Linked DNA regions of Saccharomyces cerevisiae S288C. The protein of the gene in region 4 interacts with the protein of the main gene of each other region in a biochemical or structural test. Each region holds a gene or a part of one and is shown on either strand. Other genes may lie near its edges. The genes, in order: TEF1, YGR054W, GCN1 and GCN2.

Region 1 (3,514 bases), on a different chromosome or scaffold from region 4:
TTCTCTTTTCCATTACAGATAGCGCCGATCAAAGTATTTGTTACGACAATATCGAATAACGATGGCTTCCCCGCTATACTTAAGAGGATCTCGCAGGCTTTACGTAAAAGAGAGATATACTTTAAAATTGACGATTCCAATACTTCAATTGGTAAAAAATACGCCCGTAACGATGAATTGGGAACACCATTTGGTATCACCATAGATTTCGAAACTATAAAAGACCAAACGGTGACGTTAAGAGAAAGAAATTCTATGAGGCAAGTAAGAGGCACTATTACTGATGTGATTTCGACCATTGACAAAATGCTTCACAACCCTGATGAATCGGACTGGGATAAATCAACATTTGGACTGTCGCCTGTTAAGATATAACTGAAAAAAGAGGGGAATTTTTAGATACTGAAATGATATTTTAGAATAACCAGACTATATATAAGGATAAATTACAAAAAATTAACTAATAGATAAGATTTAAATATAAAAGATATGCAACTAGAAAAGTCTTATCAATCTCCTTATTTCTTAGCAGCCTTTTGAGCAGCCTTGGTAACCTTAGCGGCCTTTTCAGTCTTGTCAACAGACTTGATAACACCGACAGCGACAGTTTGTCTCATGTCTCTGACAGCGAATCTACCTAATGGTGGGTATTCACTGAAAGCTTCAACACACATTGGCTTAGATGGAACGAACTTGACCAAAGCAGCGTCACCGGACTTCAAGAACTTTGGATGGTCTTCCAACTTCTTACCAGATCTTCTGTCGTTCTTTTCCAACAATTCGTCGAATCTACAAGCAATGTGAGCAGTGTGACAATCCAAAACTGGAGAGTAACCAGCAGAGATTTGACCTGGATGGTTCAAAACAATGACGGTAGCGTTGAAAGAAGCGCAACCCTTTGGTGGATCGTTCTTAGCGTCACCACAGACGTTACCTCTTCTGATTTCCTTAACGGAAACGTTCTTGACGTTGAAACCAACGTTGTCACCTGGAACACCTTGTTCCAATTGTTCGTGATGCATTTCAACGGACTTGACTTCAGTGGTAACACCAGCTGGGGCAAAAGTAACAACCATACCTGGCTTGATGACACCGGTTTCAACTCTACCGACTGGCACAGTACCAATACCACCAATCTTGTAAACATCTTGCAATGGCAATCTCAATGGCTTGTCAGTTGGTCTAGATGGTTGTTCAATGGCGTCAATGGCTTCCAACAAAGTCTTACCCTTGACGACACCGGCCTTGGTTTCCTTTTCCCAACCCTTGTACCATGGAGCGTTGGTGGTAGCTTCAATCATGTTGTCACCGTTCCAACCAGAGATTGGGACGAATGGAACAGTCTTTGGGTTGTAACCAACCTTCTTGATAAAGTTGGAGGTTTCCTTGACAATTTCTTGGAATCTGGATTCGTCCCATTTGACGGAGTCCATCTTGTTGACAGCAACAATCAATTGTCTAACACCCAAGGTGAAAGCCAACAAAGCGTGTTCTCTGGTTTGACCATCCTTAGAGATACCGGCTTCGAATTCACCGACACCACCAGCAATAATCAAGATAGCACAGTCAGCTTGAGAAGTACCAGTAATCATGTTCTTGATGAAATCTCTGTGACCTGGAGCATCAATAACGGTAACTTGGTACTTTGGAGTTTCGAACTTCCACAAAGCAATATCGATAGTGATACCTCTTTCTCTTTCAGCCTTTAACTTGTCCAAAACCCAAGCGTACTTGAAAGAACCCTTACCTAATTCAGCGGCTTCCTTTTCGAACTTTTCGATGGTTCTCTTGTCAATACCACCACACTTGTAAATCAAATGACCGGTAGTGGTAGACTTACCAGAATCGACATGACCGATAACGACAACGTTAATGTGAGACTTCTCTTTACCCATTTTGTAATTAAAACTTAGATTAGATTGCTATGCTTTCTTTCTAATGAGCAAGAAGTAAAAAAAGTTGTAATAGAACAAGAAAAATGAAACTGAAACTTGAGAAATTGAAGACCGTTTATTAACTTAAATATCAATGGGAGGTCATCGAAAGAGAAAAAAATCAAAAAAAAAAATTTTCAAGAAAAAGAAACGTGATAAAAATTTTTATTGCCTTTTTCGACGAAGAAAAAGAAACGAGGCGGTCTCTTTTTTCTTTTCCAAACCTTTAGTACGGGTAATTAACGACACCCTAGAGGAAGAAAGAGGGGAAATTTAGTATGCTGTGCTTGGGTGTTTTGAAGTGGTACGGCGATGCGCGGAGTCCGAGAAAATCTGGAAGAGTAAAAAAGGAGTAGAAACATTTTGAAGCTATGGTGTGTGGGGGATCACTTGTGGGGGATTGGGTGTGATGTAAGGATTCGCGGTCCTCGAAAATTAAAAGTCCAACGCGCCTGTTGCTTCCTATGTGATATGTATTATATGTAATATGCATAAATATATCTACTGCATTGTATTTTGAACGTACAAAGTATGCATTGTTTATACGCTATTATCAGCCAAAGTTGGGTGGTCGCTTTCTGTTGTATGACTATTGATGTCTAGGCTGTCAATAATTTCGTTTTGAGCCTCCATGTCTCTGAAGAACTCCCTGTTGGCAAGGCTGGACGAAGAGGCAGATGGGGATGACCGTAGTCTTATGCCCCCTTGACGGCTGTTCCTGCCTCTGACTAAAGACCTCATTAAAGATTTCGTGAACCTTCTTGTCGTCTTAATTATCCCGTTGAAAAATTTACTCCAGCGAGACCCGTCCTCTATGAGGTCCCAGTGTGGTTGCTCATTTAAAGATGGCGATATGTCGTGTAACTCGTCGTCGTTTTTCAAATGCCTATTTAGTTTAGCATAGATCCATCTTCTCCCCGCAAATTCGACTAAAAAGAATATAGCGAAGATACCGATGAAGATACCCAAAACGTTAACTTCATTCTTTTTGTTTGAGGTGGGGCACGCATGAATGCTGCGGACTTCGAAGAAATACGAGCAATTGTGTAGGTTTCCAATGTATGATATCTGGGCCTTTGATTGAATTTCTTTATCGCAGACAAAATTCAATAAAGTTGCCTTCTTGTCCTTCCCGTTCGGGCACATAGAGCCGTTTTCGTATTTGAGAGTTAATTTCTTGGCAGTAGAGCCGCCGACTAACGCAGGCCTTGTACTGAAGTCTCCAATCGATACTAAATTATTTTCGTTCAACTGGTCTACGTAAAAAGCGCCCGTTAGATTGGACAGTTGTTGCGACTCAGCTTCTCCGACAGGACTAGAGCAGATGCCTAACGTGAAGTTTGTATCGTAGCCCCAACCTCTCACTGACCACTTCGTCTTGGAGGATTCATGCTTGTTATTGCCAGAAATCTGTTTTTGGCCCTCCCTTAATTTGTTGGGAGTTGAAGATAGCTGTGATAGATCTATGTATGATCCGGTGACTGGGTTGGTTACCGCACAAAATAGATCTTCATCGTTTTCGCTTTTGGGTTTATCCGGATTTGCTAACGTTCTTTTTTGCTTGTGAGAAGCCCTATGTT
Region 2 (4,051 bases), on a different chromosome or scaffold from region 4:
AATCAGCCGGGATAATCTCTTTTTTTTACTTCTTTTACCGTCGCCATCATTTTTCTTCTTCTCATCTTCTTTGGAATTTTGAGTTTCGTTGACCTTATTTTCCATTGACCTTTCAGCTGCATTTTCAAGGTACTCAGAGATAACACTTTGGTTCAAATTATTGGCTGTAGGATGTAAAATGTAGTCTATGACTGGTACCGACCTCATTGAAAATGAACCGCCTGCACCATTGCCTCGTTTCTCCTCTTTCAATCTGTCATTAATTTCTAATTTGGTAATCTTGCAATGGTCTTCCGGTATGCAGCTTTGCCATTTGATCACCAATTTGTCATTACATGTTATGGTATTATAACTCTGAAGAGCAGATTTAACTTCTTCATCATGCGATGTCGATGTTAGAGTCTTTACTGAACTTATATGCAAGCGACATTCATCGCCCAAGATAAACTTTCGTACTATCATTCGCATTGCATTCAAAGAAGCCATGTATTTTGATTTTCCATGTAACACTGGAATATATGGATGCGATGTTGGAAATAGTCTAAAAACAACGTTATCCGCCAACACTGACTCCTTGAACATTTTTTGTAACAAATTGGGAACACCTTTAACCACTAAATAATCTGTTATTTGCCCCAAATTGGCCACTTTTTGAGAATTGGAGTACCATCGAGGAAAGATTCCTTTGATAGATATTATGCCGGCTCTGCAAACACACTTTAGTAACATAAGTCTTTCCCCCTATTATCTATGAATATAAACTGTCTATCTTTCCTTGGTTGTGATGTATCGTTTTCCGTAGAGGCTTGCAGCTTTATGGCTCATACCTGTCATCCCTCTTTATGGGCCTTTTAAGGGCGCTCTCTACATTGTATTCTATTCATTTTTTTCGTAACCGTAACTACGCGCCTTCTTAACGCAAGGCGCTCGACTCATCATGAGATGCGTATGAATGTCTTTCAGTGTATAGAAATACATCTCACCAAATCTATTTATTTAACTAATATTTCTTTTAATATTTTCCTCAAGAAACTCAGGCAGTTAATGTTGTGTCCTATTTTTTTTAGTTCTTTCCCATTTTTATAGCACTCGTACAAAAGAAATCGAAATATTTCAATATGTTTAGACTCGGTTCTATGTGTTAAAACTGCAAGATGAAAAAGTAACATCTATCTTAGATTAAGGTCCTTTCTTTATATTCTTTACTTTATTAGTGAGCAGAAATATTATTAAAAATTGCCGCTGTCATACTGTACGATATTATTACCCGACCGCAGAATGTTCCTCAATACTTTCTTTTTCTTCCTTTTTTTCACTTCGCTTTCTTCATGTCCATCAATGAAATTTCAGCTTCATAGCGATTTATTTTCAGTGTACGTTATTCAATGAAGATTCCTTTTCCTCGATCTATCCAGACGACTAGACATAGCGAGAATTCTTTACGGTAGAAGCAACCTATAGATTACCGAATCATAACTTTCTTTAGTGTTGATTGAGACGTGTTGTGTTTAAACTATCCATTGCATCTCGATAAAAAAACATAGTACTACAACAAACAGTCAGGTTCAATAACACCTAAACATTATGTCATCTCAGTTTTTCCTGAAAACCTCTCAGGATATAGAGCTCTTCCAAAGCTACCCAACTTTTGAGCAATCCAACACAAACTCCAAGGATTTCCCTGTCATTTCCTCGGTTTTATCGCCATGTGGCAGATTTTTGGCTTTATCTACGAAGGAGAACGTCAAAGTTTTTACAGGTCCATGTTTGGATAACGTTCTATTAACAATGAAGTTGTCCGACGTCTATGACCTACACTTCTCTCCAGCAGGTAACTACTTAAGCACTTGGGAGAGAGCGTCTATACAAGACCCAAATCACAAGAACGTTAAAGTTTGGTATTTGAATAAACCATTTAAGAAAGATTGCGTTTCGGAGGATATAGTCCCTGCTTACGAATATCAAGCCAAATCCCAAAGCGGTTGGTTTTTACAATTCTCCAAATTAGACAATTATGGGCTAAGACTTTTTAAACACGACTTGAAGATTGTTAAATTAAGCTCCGCTAATGCCGACAATTTCGACTTCCAATCTCCGTTTGCTGTCTTGTCTGATGATGAAACGTCCCAACATTTCACCACCTACCTAATCTCTCCAGCTGAACATCCAACAATTTGTACTTTCACACCAGAAAAGGGTGGTAAACCGGCTCAATTAATCATATGGGCCCTCTCTGAAGGTAAAATCACCAAGAAAATTGCCTCCAAAACTTTCTTTAAAGCTGATTCCTGCCAATTGAAATGGAATCCATTAGGTAATGCTATTTTATGTTTAGCTATTACTGATTTTGATTCCTCAAACAAATCATATTATGGTGAAAACACACTATACTTACTGTCTTTCCAAGGTGTCAACGGGACTTTGGGTGGTAACTCTGTACGTGTTTCTTTAACCACTGGACCTGTCCACGATTTCACTTGGTCGCCAACTTCAAGGCAATTCGGTGTCATCGCTGGTTACATGCCAGCAACCATTTCCTTTTTTGACTTAAGAGGTAATGTTGTCCATTCATTACCTCAACAAGCCAAAAATACCATGCTTTTCTCTCCCTCTGGTCATTACATTCTTATCGCCGGGTTTGGTAATTTACAGGGCTCCGTGGAAATCCTAGATCGTCTCGACAAATTCAAGTGTGTGAGTAAATTTGACGCTACCAACACTTCTGTCTGCAAATGGTCACCGGGTGGAGAATTTATCATGACAGCTACCACTTCACCAAGATTGAGAGTGGATAACGGCGTTAAAATATGGCATGTATCAGGCTCTTTAGTATTTGTTAAAGAGTTCAAGGAGCTTTTGAAGGTAGACTGGAGGTCACCATGTAATTACAAAACTTTGGAAAACAAAGACGAAGCATTTTTCGAGAACCATATCATTAATAACTGGGAACCGCTACCTGATTCGACCACATCTTCACTTGATCCTAAAATATCCAATAAATCAGAATTGCAAATACATTCTAGCGTTCAAGAGTACATAAGTCAACACCCAAGCAGAGAAGCAAGCTCCAATGGAAACGGATCTAAGGCCAAAGCTGGAGGCGCTTATAAACCACCTCACGCAAGAAGAACAGGCGGTGGACGTATTGTCCCCGGAGTTCCTCCTGGTGCAGCAAAGAAGACCATCCCAGGGCTAGTTCCGGGCATGAGTGCCAACAAGGACGCCAACACCAAGAACAGGAGAAGAAGAGCCAATAAAAAGTCAAGTGAAACGTCACCTGATTCTACTCCGGCCCCATCTGCTCCTGCCTCCACAAATGCCCCCACAAACAATAAAGAAACTTCTCCAGAGGAGAAGAAAATAAGATCTTTACTAAAGAAATTAAGGGCTATTGAAACCTTGAAGGAAAGACAGGCCGTCGGTGACAAACTAGAAGATACGCAAGTTCTAAAAATTCAAACTGAAGAAAAAGTGTTGAAAGATTTGGAAAAGTTGGGTTGGAAGGATGAATAAACTAGAAGAAACTGATGTATCCATACAACTGTGTAAATATTAACAACGTCAAATAATACTACTTTGAATTGTTTTTTACTGTTTCCCAGGAGAATTACGCCAACCTCCCCCCTTTCTTTTTTTCCCTTGTTTTATTGTACTTTTCCACATATTTTTTTAACATCAAATAGTAATTGATACATACATAATTAGTGAGCATTTTCCTTATTTTTACGTCTCTTCTTGGCGGATTGCCACCAGCCGCATCTTACAATGTATGCCACGATACCGCCAGGCAATAAATGAATATGGAGTGTCACTTCGGCTCCGTAAGCCGGCGCTGCATCCGCCACCACAGTTTTTTTTAGCGTCGCTGTCGCCGCTTTGCCACAGAAAAAGAAAAAAAAAAAAGAAACGGCGCCGTGTAGGGTTTTGTATAACAGATCGGCCTAGCAGCCAGGAGATGGCACGGCGCCAACTGAAAAGTTAGACTGTGGAATTGCCGTTCACCACACTCGAGTGGCATCTAATAAACTGCCACAGTTGACTCAAGCGGTGC
Region 3 (4,867 bases), on a different chromosome or scaffold from region 4:
TTGAGGGTAAAGATAGAAGAGATAGTAACACTTCAACAATGGAAATTCTCGGAATGGAAGGATCCTCAAAAGCTTCAGCGTGTACAGAAATAATTTCCATGGCCAGTAACAGATGTTCTTCTTCTTCATCTTCTTCAACAAACTCAGCCTTAACAACAGGCTTGTCCGCATTCTTTAATGCAATCGCCTTACCCTTTTCTAAAACATTAATCAACAATGGTAAAATATATGTCAAACTGATGGAATCTATTGCTGCTTGGTTGGAGACGAACTTGATCCTAAAAAGAACTCTTGTAAGTAATTCAACCAGTGGTTCTTGTAAATAATCTTGCGAGATGCCATTAGCATTGTGCACACGCAAAGTCGCCAAACCTAAGAAAAGTCTGATATTACCTAATCTCTCGGAGACATTTTGAGAAAGCTGCAAGAACACATTATTTACATCCTCTGTTAGCTTTGAAATATTTGGTTCCGAGCATAGGTACAAAAGCTTTGTGACTGCCAAGGGGAACCAAGTAGCGATGCCATTTTGGACTAAGCAAGCAGCTTTGGAAAGTTCAGATACCAATCTAATACCACGCTTTAAACGAGTGGAAATTTCCGAAACGTGTGATCTAACTGCAGATTCTTTCGCTAACTGTTCATTAACGAGCTCTTGTTCCTCTTTTGAAAGTTTTTTCACATTCTTTTTGGCTTGCTCCTTCCTTATTTTTTGTTCCCACATTAGAGTTTCGTACTCTTTAGAATTTTTATTGGAAAGTTTCTTATTCATGCTTTCTTCCAGGACGTCAACCACCAGAACACCTTCCTCTCCTGCAAAAATTTCGAAGTCCTCTTCAGATAAACGTGAGAAATCATCCGCGGTTAAATCTGCTTCGATAGTCTTACAAAGGATCGGTGTGAACTCATTAGGCTGAATAAATGCTGCATAGGCAGCTGCTTGCAAACCGCATGCACCATAAATTGTATCTATCCATTCACAACTACCTGTGATTTCAAGAATCTTCTCCATGATAACGCTAGCATGTTCTTTGACAACTTCAGCTGGATCAAGCCTTGCACGTAAAACTAAACCAGCCCAGCCATTCTTAATGTTGAAAATATTCCATTGCGCTATGACCAGAGCATTGATTAATACCTTTATCGAGGCTTCCTTGTCAGGTAACTCAGACGTAATGGCCAGTAGTACAGAAGTGACATATTTAAAGGATGTATTTTGTTGAGGTATTAATTCTTGGACACGCATTCTCCTTTCAATTGCATCAATCACGCTAAACCCAATAAATTCGGGTTTCTTGTAGAACAATTCTTGTAGTAAATTAACAGCATGAATACGGTTTTCGATGGATAGCTCTGTTGATAATGCAGCAGTTAAGATAGCATCACCTATCGAAGAATTTTCAGGAAGGGTTTCTATGAGCTGCATAACACGATCATTTAGCTCAGTATTGTCCAATGCCAAAATTTTGTTTGTAAATTCAATTGATGCTAGAATACATGCATGCCCGTGAGTCTGATAATGTATGATGGAGTCTTTCACAAATTCCAAACAACCGTCTATAAAGTTTAAAATCACCTCTTCAGAGGCAGCATTGGAATTGTTCAAAAATGCGGCAAACCAGCATTTTTTCAAAGCAGGTTTTTTATCTGCAAAACCAGCTGATATAATTTTATCCAAGTCTTCAATAGGTTTGCCCAGACTAAAATAATGAACAAAAAAAGCGTTAAGCATTAGAGTCAAGGCTGCTTCATTACCTTCTTTACCAATATATGGGGACAGCCCTTTGCAGATTTTTTCTGAAACCTCATAGTGCGTTAAGGGTATTTCTATGAGAATTTTGGAAATAAGTGATTTGTAATCTGCATTTAAGTTCGATTTGATGTTCTTAAATATTTCGTCAATAAGCTTGGTCAAATCTTCCAAGGTAGTGTCAGTATTGGAAATTTTTCTCAATAAGATTATCATAGACTGAAGCGAGACGGATCTAACTACCTCTTTTGAGCTTTTAAATGACGAGAAGTATTGATTAATCAGTTTCGAGGAAGCAAAGGCATTTAAGAGATTTACTTTTTCAGGAGAAACACCAGCATATAACTCAGATAAAATCGAAAAACCAACCTCAGGAGATCTTAAAACTGCTTTTTCAATATTAGGGATGAAAAACTTAATGAATAACTCTTGTGAAACAAATTCTTTTAAAAATGGCTTCAAACCAATCTCTAAGCAAAAGGAAGATGGTGGGTTTTTGCCTAAAAACACTTCTTTGCCCAAATATTCGCAATATTTCTCTGCAGAATTTTCCTTTAAAACGGAGTGCAGAGCTGGTTGCCTCGATAATAACTGAAGTGCAGCCTGAGTTAGTGCACCCATTATCATAACTACTCCAACACTGGTTATCTTCAGCTTAGAGTAGCTCTCCAGTACAGTTTTAATTGAAATCTTCATGAAGGAAATACTGTCGTCATTATCCTTCAAGCACTTAAGGAATGCTTTGACCGTTGTTTGGAAAATGCAATAACGAATTCTCTTTCTATGCTGGTTCTGCTTATCTTGGGATTTCTTGCCTTCTTCTTGATTGTCAAGAATAGTTTCCACACCGAACGTTGCATAAGAATGGGCGACCAACAATTTTGGAATGTACTCTTCAAATAAATTAGAATTATGCGACACAAAAATCAAGAAAGAATTAATCCAATCTAACAAATTAAGGTAATCAGCGACTGCTTTGGTAGCCGGATTACTGATGACCACGTCGGAAATGAATCGGATAAAGTTTTCTAGGAGACATGGCTCTAGATTTAAGATGTCAAGCAATATTGAAGTTACCAAACTTTTAGACCTATTGTCTTCGTAAATCGTGAAGGTATTCAATAAAACGAAAGCAATTTCAGATAATTGAGGTTTTTCCAATGTTTCTTGACGAACTAATTGTGATATATCTTGCAAAAAGGGAACTCTTTTAGACACGTGTGATTCGCGGGTGCCTTTCTCTAAAACAGGGGATATATCTTCCCAGTTTAAGATAGCTGTCATCACTGTAGGAGTTATTGGTGTCAGTCAGAGCTTTGTTTGTCTTAATGATCTACTTCAGGTTTAATAAGTACAACTCAAAGATCTTTTCGAAGGTTTAAATTATTCAAATTTTTCATTCGTACGTAACGACTTTATTGAGAAGCTCAATGACGGTAGTTGAAATTTCATAGCATTATATCAACAAATAAATCTGTATTACAATTACCAGCTCGCAGGTAATGCGGAAGCTTAACAAGAGGGTGTTTAGACCAACCTGTGTACAACCTTACTCTTAGTTACTATTTATAAATAGATACACAATTACATAGACACAGAGATGCTTTGATGAGAGTGATAACCAACGACAAAAGAGAGCTTACCATTTCTGAAAAGGTAACCAAACATCGTTGACAATGCCTTCGCTGTTTACCACGAAATAATATGGAAATTGTCCCATTGTGATACAAGCGTGTTGAGGAAGGACGGCAATTTTGCTGCCTAATTTTAATGGAGTAGTTTCGTTCCAGTTTCTTATTGGCCTCAGTATCCCGTGTTCTTGAGAGACCCTTGCTACATACCATTCCCTACTGAAACTCTCGGATTTTAACACATGTTCCAAATCAGCACATATTCCAAACCCTTTTATTGAGGATGCTTCTCGCGTTAGACACATTACACCTGTATTACTCAACAATTCACCTCTAGAAGGGTAAGATGATAGTACTGTTCCTAATACAAAACCAGACAATTCGTGATCTTGGACACAGCCTGTTGCCACCTGTTGCAGGTCATACATGCAGTAATTACCGCAGTGGATTTCAAGCGTACTAACTAATTGAGTAGTAATGAATTTAACAAGGGTACTTTTATTATCGAGTTTCAAAGAATTGGAAGTCGGAGTAGCGCCCACAGAAAGTGTTAATTTAGAAGGATCAAACTGAGGATCCACAGAGCACAAAACTTTAGCGGCAGAATTGACTGCTTTCACTTCTTCCATCAAAAGATTCTGAGTGTCGTTGATCGAGGTTGAAGAGTAGCTGTGTCCGGCATGAGCATAAAACCCATATGGCTCAATTACTTCTTTAATTTCTGAGGAAGTCAGTTTTTTTAAAAGACTCAAAAATTCTGGAGAGTCGAAAGCAAGACCTGCCCTCTTAGTCCCCATATCAACCTTGATAAAAACCGACCATTTCTTGCCGGAAGCAGGCCTACCGAAATTCTTTAAATTCTCCAAGTGTTCAATGTTATCAACAAAAACCTGAAAATTATTCACCCTTCTTGACAAATTGCTCAAAAGAGGAATAAACTCTGGAACGCAACAGGGTAAACTATATGTTATATCGTCAATATAATCCGAACATTGTCTATCTTGATAATTAAGAAGTTCTTCTGCTTCTTTCAAAGTTGATACTAATATGGCTCTTGTAGTGCGTTTAGCCAATGGAAGTCCGTGGCCCAATTGTTTCAAAGTTCCCTTTGCTGTCTTATGCGTTTTTACGTGTGCACGAAATTTGATTGGTACGCCACATTCCTGGCTGAGCTTTTCAACGTTGTTCAACATTGTCGTACAATTCTTATCAAATTTTTCTTCATTAATAACGAAATTGGGTGTGGGTAAATCTCTGACTGAGCACCCTTTATATTGAGATAGAACATCGCTCATTTCAAACTCTTCTTAGGAGCAATATTATACTTCCTTATCAAGAAATGAAGTATTTATGTGCACTTAATTCCCTTTCGTGTTGAATAAAATTGACAGTAAATAGTGGAAAGAAATCTTTTCACTCAAAAGCTTTATATATGTACACATATTGTTGTTCCATGGTTTTGAGAGATATTTTAACTCCGTCTTAT
Region 4 (7,172 bases):
TTTAAGCATCTTCATTGTCTTGATATTCGTATCCACTGACTTGTGTTCCCTATTGGTCTTCTTCTCTGTAGCTAGTTTACCTTTCCAACGGCCATCTTGCACTTCTAAATTCTGTATTGATAAACTAGTTCCTAACCGTCTAATTTGGAATCGTGATACGAAACCGAATGTGCTAGTCAAACTTCTGAATGAAAGCATTCTTCACGCCATATTATGATCATTTATTAAATGTCTCCCGTAGGAGCTAGAGGAGCCTCACACAACATACGCACACATTTATATTCACCGAAAAATTAAATACAAAATGGAAAGTAGAGAAAGGAGAGAAGAAGTAGACCATCTCATTAAACCTACATTTGTCTTTAGTATCAGGAATATGTATAAGAAAGGTGACCTACCCCCTTTACAACGGTGAATTAGATGAATCAGCTAGCCTAAATATAGTATCTAAGACATTGTATATACTTTACCTTTAACTGATGCGTTATAGCGCCGCACAGATCTTTAAAGGCCTACCTCTGTAAATCGATAACAGATGATTTTCCGGTTTTGTGGCAGTATAATATTGCCCACCTATTCCCTTTATGAGCCTCTTTGGAGAGGTTATTATAAATGCTCGTGGCAAAGCTTCTAGGAGTCGAGTTATTACCTGACCCAAAAACTTTTCTCAGCCATTCTTCCTTCTGAGCCAAAGAAGTAATTGAGATTATTTCTAAAGTTTCATCTCTTAAGGCATCAACAGTGATAATTGGTGCATTGGATAAATTGTGTAATATCATATTCGAAGAATTTCTGGCTGCATCCTCATAAACCCACTTTTCCCTTTTATTAGCTTTCTTAGATCTTGTAGCCATGTTTGGAACATAAATTACCTTTTGATTATTAGTCGAACCAGCAACAACATCATCTATGTCACCTTCTTGACTACTACCGGCACTGCTGTTTTCATCCCATCTTTTAAATTCATCAGCCTTATCGCCCAAAGTGAGACTATCGTTGATCAAAGATTTATTACCAGTTTCTTGTTGGTACAAGGTTAAAAACTCATCAAGATCTAAATCTATGTCAACATTAGTGCTCAATTTTTTTATTTTTAATGGCTTGTACTTTCTCTTGTGATTGGTTAGTGGATACGCTTGTTGCTTAATCAGCAAAATCCAGTCTATACCATCCTGTTGAGCGCCAGTAACGACATCATCCACCGAGGAACAATCCCTTAACATATCCGCTTTAATGTTTTGCTTCCACAATGTATTCAGTATTGTAACCCCGATTGTGTCCAACAAAGAGTTCGAAAAACTCGATATCAATACATCACACCTGCTTGGCTTCCAATCAACAGCTGTATCTTTCAAAAACCTATTTCTCTTCTTTATCCTATTTCCAGAAGCGAGTTTGAAATAGTTTTGGGCTATACCGAATATTGTTTCCCACGCTAAGTTGAAACCTACAGCCTTACGAGTATTGCTGCTCTTTTTTCCTGATGGTCTGGCAAAAAAGGATATCAAAGTGTCATACCTCCCTCCAGCAGCTATCATATTACGTGAGGATCCATCGTCATAAACTGCATGAAACATGATACCTCCTTTGTAAAAAGCGCTATTGTAGTTACTCAAAGGAGATATCACAACATTTCTTGCAACTTCTAAGGGTTTTAGGTAACTGAGAACCTTTGATATATGGGACAAAGAGTCCTCAATTTTTTTTAGATGCGGACTATCAATCATCAATTTATACAGGCGTTTTTTGGCTGCTTCGAAGTCCAGTCTAAAATCAAATAACTCCAAATCATTCAATGCCGTAGAAGATATGTTCAGTTGCGCCTTTAGTTCATTCTTTACTTCCTTGAAGGACCTTGCAAAGCCTACTTGCGACAACATTCGTGAAACTAGAGGCCTTTGGGCTTTATCAATATTTGTAAAGTTGAAAACACTCTCCAAAATATCAGCATGATTTAATATGAAAAAAGTGTTTGTTTTCTCAAATACAGGAAATACGGTTAATATTTCATCGATAATTTTCAAGCTTTCTGCATCATAAAATCCTGACTCTGAGGAAGATTTTGAAATTATGTCGAAGTCAATCTCACCAAACTTTCTAGGTTCCAAACTTGACCTTGAATGATCAGGAGGTCGGTAAACGTGCTGCATCCTATATTGCTTAGAAATCAGACTTGGATTTTTAGATAGATACCTAGCCATAGGATAAGTTAAATCATATTGTAACTGCAAGACGGTACCGCCCTTGTCAAGCACTTCATATACATTCTGCGTACCGTATATGGGGGCCTTTGGAAAAATCCTCGGAGGAGCATTATTTTCAATTCCTCCATGTTTCCTGAAAATTTTAACTACCTCTTCTGTCATTTGGGACCTGAGAATGTTTGCGAAAGGAGTGGATGTTGGAACTGAGTTATCAAATAGAATATCATTTGTTAGACTGTAAGATTGGTTAAATAAACTTTCTCGAACTTGCTGTTGCCAAGGGGATGAAGGATTCGACAAACTTTTTAAAGCCTCTTTGATTACTTCATCCTGATGCTTCACAGGAAGCCAACCACTATTTAATAATGTCCTAGCACCAGGCCTTTTATTGGGATCATGGTCTATGAGTAACCTTATAATTTTCTTTTCAACTTTCATCTTATTATCGTCGAAATCAGGAGGAAATTCTATCGACACTGATCGTAACTTTTTCAAAATATTAACTCTCTCCATACCTGTACTGAAAGGATAGATCATTTCAAAAAAAATGATTCCAAGTGAATACATATCAATCTTTTCATTATAGTGACCTGTACCATCTAAAACTTCAGTAGCAACATACATTGCTGTACCAATGGCGGATGTTAAATTATCTGAGCTGCCTGGCAAATTCTGTGAATCTAGCTTAAGTATATCCAGAGATCTATGGACGTTCTTAGCTAACCCAAAATCACCGATTTTAACATTTCTCGATTCATCTATAAAAATATTCATTGGCTTCAGATCCCTATGAATGATACCCTGGGAATGTATATAACTCAGTGCTTCCAAAATTTGTCGAAATAACCTCCAATATTCATCACGTTGTTGATTTAAATTTTCAGAATGGATCAAATCATATAGCGTTCTATTTTCACAGTACTCCATTTGAATAAAAAGCGTACTTTTCTTCTTAACAGCAGTCATCGGTTTTACAAAATTCCTCCTTCTTGGAACGTTCTGGATACTCTTTGATTCTTTATCAGTATCATCTTGACTTTCGCTCGAGGAAGTCGAGGAAGTATCATGGTCTAGATCTTCATTTTCATCATCACGAGAACTATTTTCAAAGACAATATCCGGATATCCTGACCCCGATATGAAATCCCAGTTACTATTATCCAAATCGTGATTTGTTCTATTTTTAAAAATACTGCTTTGATCTAATAAATCATTTTCCTCAAAATCAGAGGAAGATTCGCTCAAGTCACTTTCTTCATCAGTTGATTCAAAAACGTTTTCATCCATACTGTCTTCTTCTAACCATGCAGCATAGTAACGCACAACATATTGATGATTTAAGCTTGCTAACAGCATTACTTCACTCAATATAGTAGATAACTTTTCTTCTGTATGTCTAATCTTCTTGATCGCATAGTATCTGCTATCGAGAGCATTACGTGCCTTGACAACTTGTCCAAATGCGCCCTGGCCTAAAACTGCAATCTCTTCAAAGTCAGAAGCATATCGTGATCGCGTTGCAGGATTTATAGAAGAGAATCTGGAACCAACATTAAATGATCTTCTTCGTATACTCGATTGTGAAAGTGTTCTACCTCCATTGCCCCGAACGGTTATGGTATCTCCAGGAGTTAACTCCAAGGAATTAGAATTGACACTTTCGGAAACTAAGTTAAATCGATTGATTGTAGAGTCAATATTGGTCCTTAAGAATTTCATGGGCAGTAGTTCTAATGTTCCTAATCTTTTCTTCGGATCGTTATTAAGCATTTTCGAAAGAAGATCATATAAAGTTTCATCCATACTTGTTGAATCTAGGAATTCTTGAGGCGTTTCAAAATTCATCACTATATCAGATCCACTGATTATCTGGATAAACAAAACACCAAGTTGCCAAATATCAGTTAATCTTTGAGGTTTGGCGTTATTGAATTTCAACAACTCAGGGGCTATCCATGTACTTGGAGATAACTCAACCGAAGAACCATTTTTATTTGGATATCTCGATAGCATATTCAAAACAGTGTAGCCATAAGTGGAGTGAACTAACTTGGGAATAGTGCTTCCAAAATCTGCATCCTTCACCAGGATCACGGTTTCTAAGTTGATACATTTATGAACAATTCCCAATTTGTGTATGGCCTCCAATCCTTCAAGCAATCTAATCATCCAAATACGCGCTGTTGCTAAGTTAACAAATCCAACAGATTGTATCAAATCTCCCAATGGATAGTAGTTACAGTACTCTGTCAAGAGTCTTATTTTCCAAACAAACGTTGCATTATTTCTCCCCATGCGCTCCACCGTATAACCGAACAATCGATTCACATTGTCATGCTTAGCTTTCAACACCGTCTCTAACTCTTTCTCTAAATTTGCTATTTCTTTTTTTCCATTACTTGTGTTGAAATAGCTATTATCCAATTCAATTTCAGATAGCAAATAGTAGAAATTTTCCATCATTTCAGAAGACATTAAAAAATCTGCCAACGGAGATTCTGGTGGTATATAAGGCTTCACAAGAAATTGTTTGGAAAAACTAAATATATCTGATGTCAGTTTTATTGGCTTAGGATTTACAACTGCTTTAAACTTGAACATTGAGTTATTAGGCAATTTTGCCTTTATAGTTTTTGAAAAGACAATAGCTTCACCTGATGCAACCCATTCTGAAGGTGGTTGTAAATCTAACTGGGTTGTTCTGTTGAATAGCAAATCATCATCATCATCTTGTCTTTTCTCCAACTCTCTTTGAACAATTTCATCTATCCTTCGCTGCTCATCTGATCTTTTTTTTATTGTTTCCTGTTGTTTTTCTCTTTCTTCCTTTTCTAATTGTTCTTTAGTTTCTTTGATTCTTTGTAATCGATCATCTTCCAAGGACTGTGTATTTACCACATTTTGAAATTCGTCCAGTTTTTCTTGAGTAAAAGATGTAATTTCAAATATAATCTCTTGGCCTCGGGAGGTGTTGTGGATTTTCTTAAATTCACTTTTCAGCATTTGCAATTGACTATCCATTACATTTTGTACATTTTTGAATTCTATTTCTGGAGCGGTATAAGGATACATTGGGGTCATCGCAAAATGTAATGTTATAGAAGATTCAACCGGCTCTTTGTCAACAGATCGAAGCGTAATTTCGAATATAATCTGTGGCTGCTTATCCCAGCTAGACTTTCTTTTAGTTAAGTCAGTAAAGTCATCCATATAAATGGAACGTATCGCTTCAAGTTCGTTGCACTGTATTTCATAATATTGATCTAAAGTGAGATGACTCAATGACATTTATACATAGTATGTGTTAAGGGGAACGGAAAATTATTGAAAAAAAAAATCAATGCTTATAAAATCTTAAAAGACAACGAGGCTTTCCAACAATGTAAAGATTGAAAATTTAGTGTATTTAATGTCCTTTTGTAATGAAAATAACTTCTTGTAAGAAAGAAGATAGAGATAAATGTAAAAGTAAATTTGCTTAAAAAGATTCTAGGCTGTTTATAGATTGATTACACCAGGTTCTTATCTCAAAAATCAGCTACTCAACTGCTTCCTAAGAAACTACCTACATCACTATAGTCCAACTTAAAACAAATAATAAACTTCTAAGGCTTTCGTGTAAAGTGATGTTGGGATTGTCCGATGAAATAACAAGCAGGCCCTTGCACGTCAAGATTAATTTGAATAAAGAAGTAACATGTCATCTTTATGTAATCGCTGTTATTCCATACAGAACAATAAATACGTATATTTCGTATGTCATGTGGAGTATATATTCTTTTTTATTCTTACATACCTTCATCGGACAAAGGATGTAATTCCTCATCCGGGATCCTCTGATGGGTGACTGCTTCCTCCAGGGTGACATCTGAATCGTCCATCAATGGTTTGAACGGAAGAGGATCATCAATGGGTGGGAAGATTCTTCTGTAGAAAAAGTGTGCCATTATATAACCCAACATAGACCCTAAAATTACATCGACGAAATGATGTCTGTAATCTTGAGTTCTGGATAGAGCAATTAGTGCAGCTCCTAACAGTGGTAGAAAGGCCACCATTTTTCTCCATAAAGGCATCAACGGTGATTCAGTCAAAAGTTGCCCACATAGCCAGAAGTACAAATAACCCAGTCCTGCAAAGCTTTCACTTGAATGACCTGACGGAGTTGTCCTAAACCCATCCAACAGACGTTCGTGATTCTTAGTCGTACACACATCTTTTGCAGTAAATAAAGTGTCCAATGGCAAGCCTTCAACAGGTTGGCAACGATCTAGAAAATCTGGTCTTAGTCTTCCAATCCAATTCTTGATGAAGTTTGTAAAGAAACTCGTACTGAACCAAGCGAGTGATAAACCAAGGAGAGATGTGTACAAAATAAAAATCAAATGTCTTCTATCGGCCAAAATGGAACCAATTATCAATATGGTTAAAGATGGCACGACAAAACTATAAACAAACAACATGTTGTTATTTACACGTTCAGTTGTCGCATAAGGATGCGATATAGTGAGATCGTTAATGTAAAACTGACGTTCGAACGGTTGTTGGTAATACACTGGGTAGTTAAGAAGTATCATGATAATGAGCAAAAAGACATCTTCTAATCTCCATTTCGCCCCTATGTTGAAAGGCGTTTTAATAAACGAAACTCTGTTCATTTTGGTCGTTTGCTATGATTTAATTCTGATTCTTTGCCTTTAACAATTGATAACGTGCCCTTTATTGAACTGCTAACTACTCGAAAAATTGGACACAATTCAGTTTATAGCAGGTGTCCTTTAAGTGATGTTTGCTGATTTCCGAACTGCGCGTATGTTAGTGGACCCTAGATAACAGTTTATTCCCTAACGTTTCTAGATAATATATGACAAAAATATACAACCGATCGACAAATTATTTCTAAAATACAAAAAAGTTAGTCGTGAGGTTATCCAACGTTGGGTTTCTATCTATATATAAAAGCTAATC

Evidence for each region.
Region 1: the proteins of GCN2 (region 4) and TEF1 form a complex in vitro, tested with the Saccharomyces cerevisiae proteins (2 studies listed by BioGRID).
Region 2: of the proteins of GCN2 (region 4) and YGR054W, one has a biochemical effect on the other in vitro, tested with the Saccharomyces cerevisiae proteins (3 studies listed by BioGRID).
Region 3: the proteins of GCN2 (region 4) and GCN1 form a complex in vitro, tested with the Saccharomyces cerevisiae proteins (3 studies listed by BioGRID).

Annotation. Positions count from the first base shown.
Region 1 is NC_001148.4:698,975-702,488, reverse strand, and holds TEF1 (translation elongation factor EF-1 alpha), read right to left. Parts: upstream 1,896-3,514; coding exon 519-1,895; downstream 1-518. Other genes in the region: GRS2 (putative glycine--tRNA ligase), read left to right, coding at 1-375; MRL1 (Mrl1p), read right to left, coding at 2,475-3,514. UniProt on the Saccharomyces cerevisiae protein: GTP-binding component of the eukaryotic elongation factor 1 complex (eEF1). In its active GTP-bound form, binds to and delivers aminoacyl-tRNA to the A-site of ribosomes during protein biosynthesis.
Region 2 is NC_001139.9:595,109-599,159, forward strand, and holds YGR054W (translation initiation factor 2A), read left to right. Parts: upstream 1-1,584; coding exon 1,585-3,513; downstream 3,514-4,051. Other genes in the region: MCO32 (Mco32p), read right to left, coding at 1-729. UniProt on the Saccharomyces cerevisiae protein: Functions in the early steps of protein synthesis of a small number of specific mRNAs. Acts by directing the binding of methionyl-tRNAi to 40S ribosomal subunits.
Region 3 is NC_001139.9:129,692-134,558, reverse strand, and holds the start of GCN1 (Gcn1p), read right to left. Parts: upstream 3,035-4,867; coding exon 1-3,034. Other genes in the region: D-serine ammonia-lyase DSD1, read right to left, coding at 3,390-4,676. UniProt on the Saccharomyces cerevisiae protein: Ribosome collision sensor that activates a translation quality control pathway when a ribosome has stalled during translation. Directly binds to the ribosome and acts as a sentinel for colliding ribosomes.
Region 4 is NC_001136.10:1,024,558-1,031,729, forward strand, and holds GCN2 (serine/threonine-protein kinase GCN2), read right to left. Parts: upstream 5,493-7,172; coding exon 513-5,492; downstream 1-512. Other genes in the region: MRX10 (Mrx10p), read right to left, coding at 1-198; DPP1 (bifunctional diacylglycerol diphosphate phosphatase/phosphatidate phosphatase), read right to left, coding at 5,993-6,862. UniProt on the Saccharomyces cerevisiae protein: Metabolic-stress sensing protein kinase that phosphorylates the alpha subunit of eukaryotic translation initiation factor 2 (eIF-2-alpha/SUI2) on 'Ser-52' in response to low amino acid, carbon, or purine availability.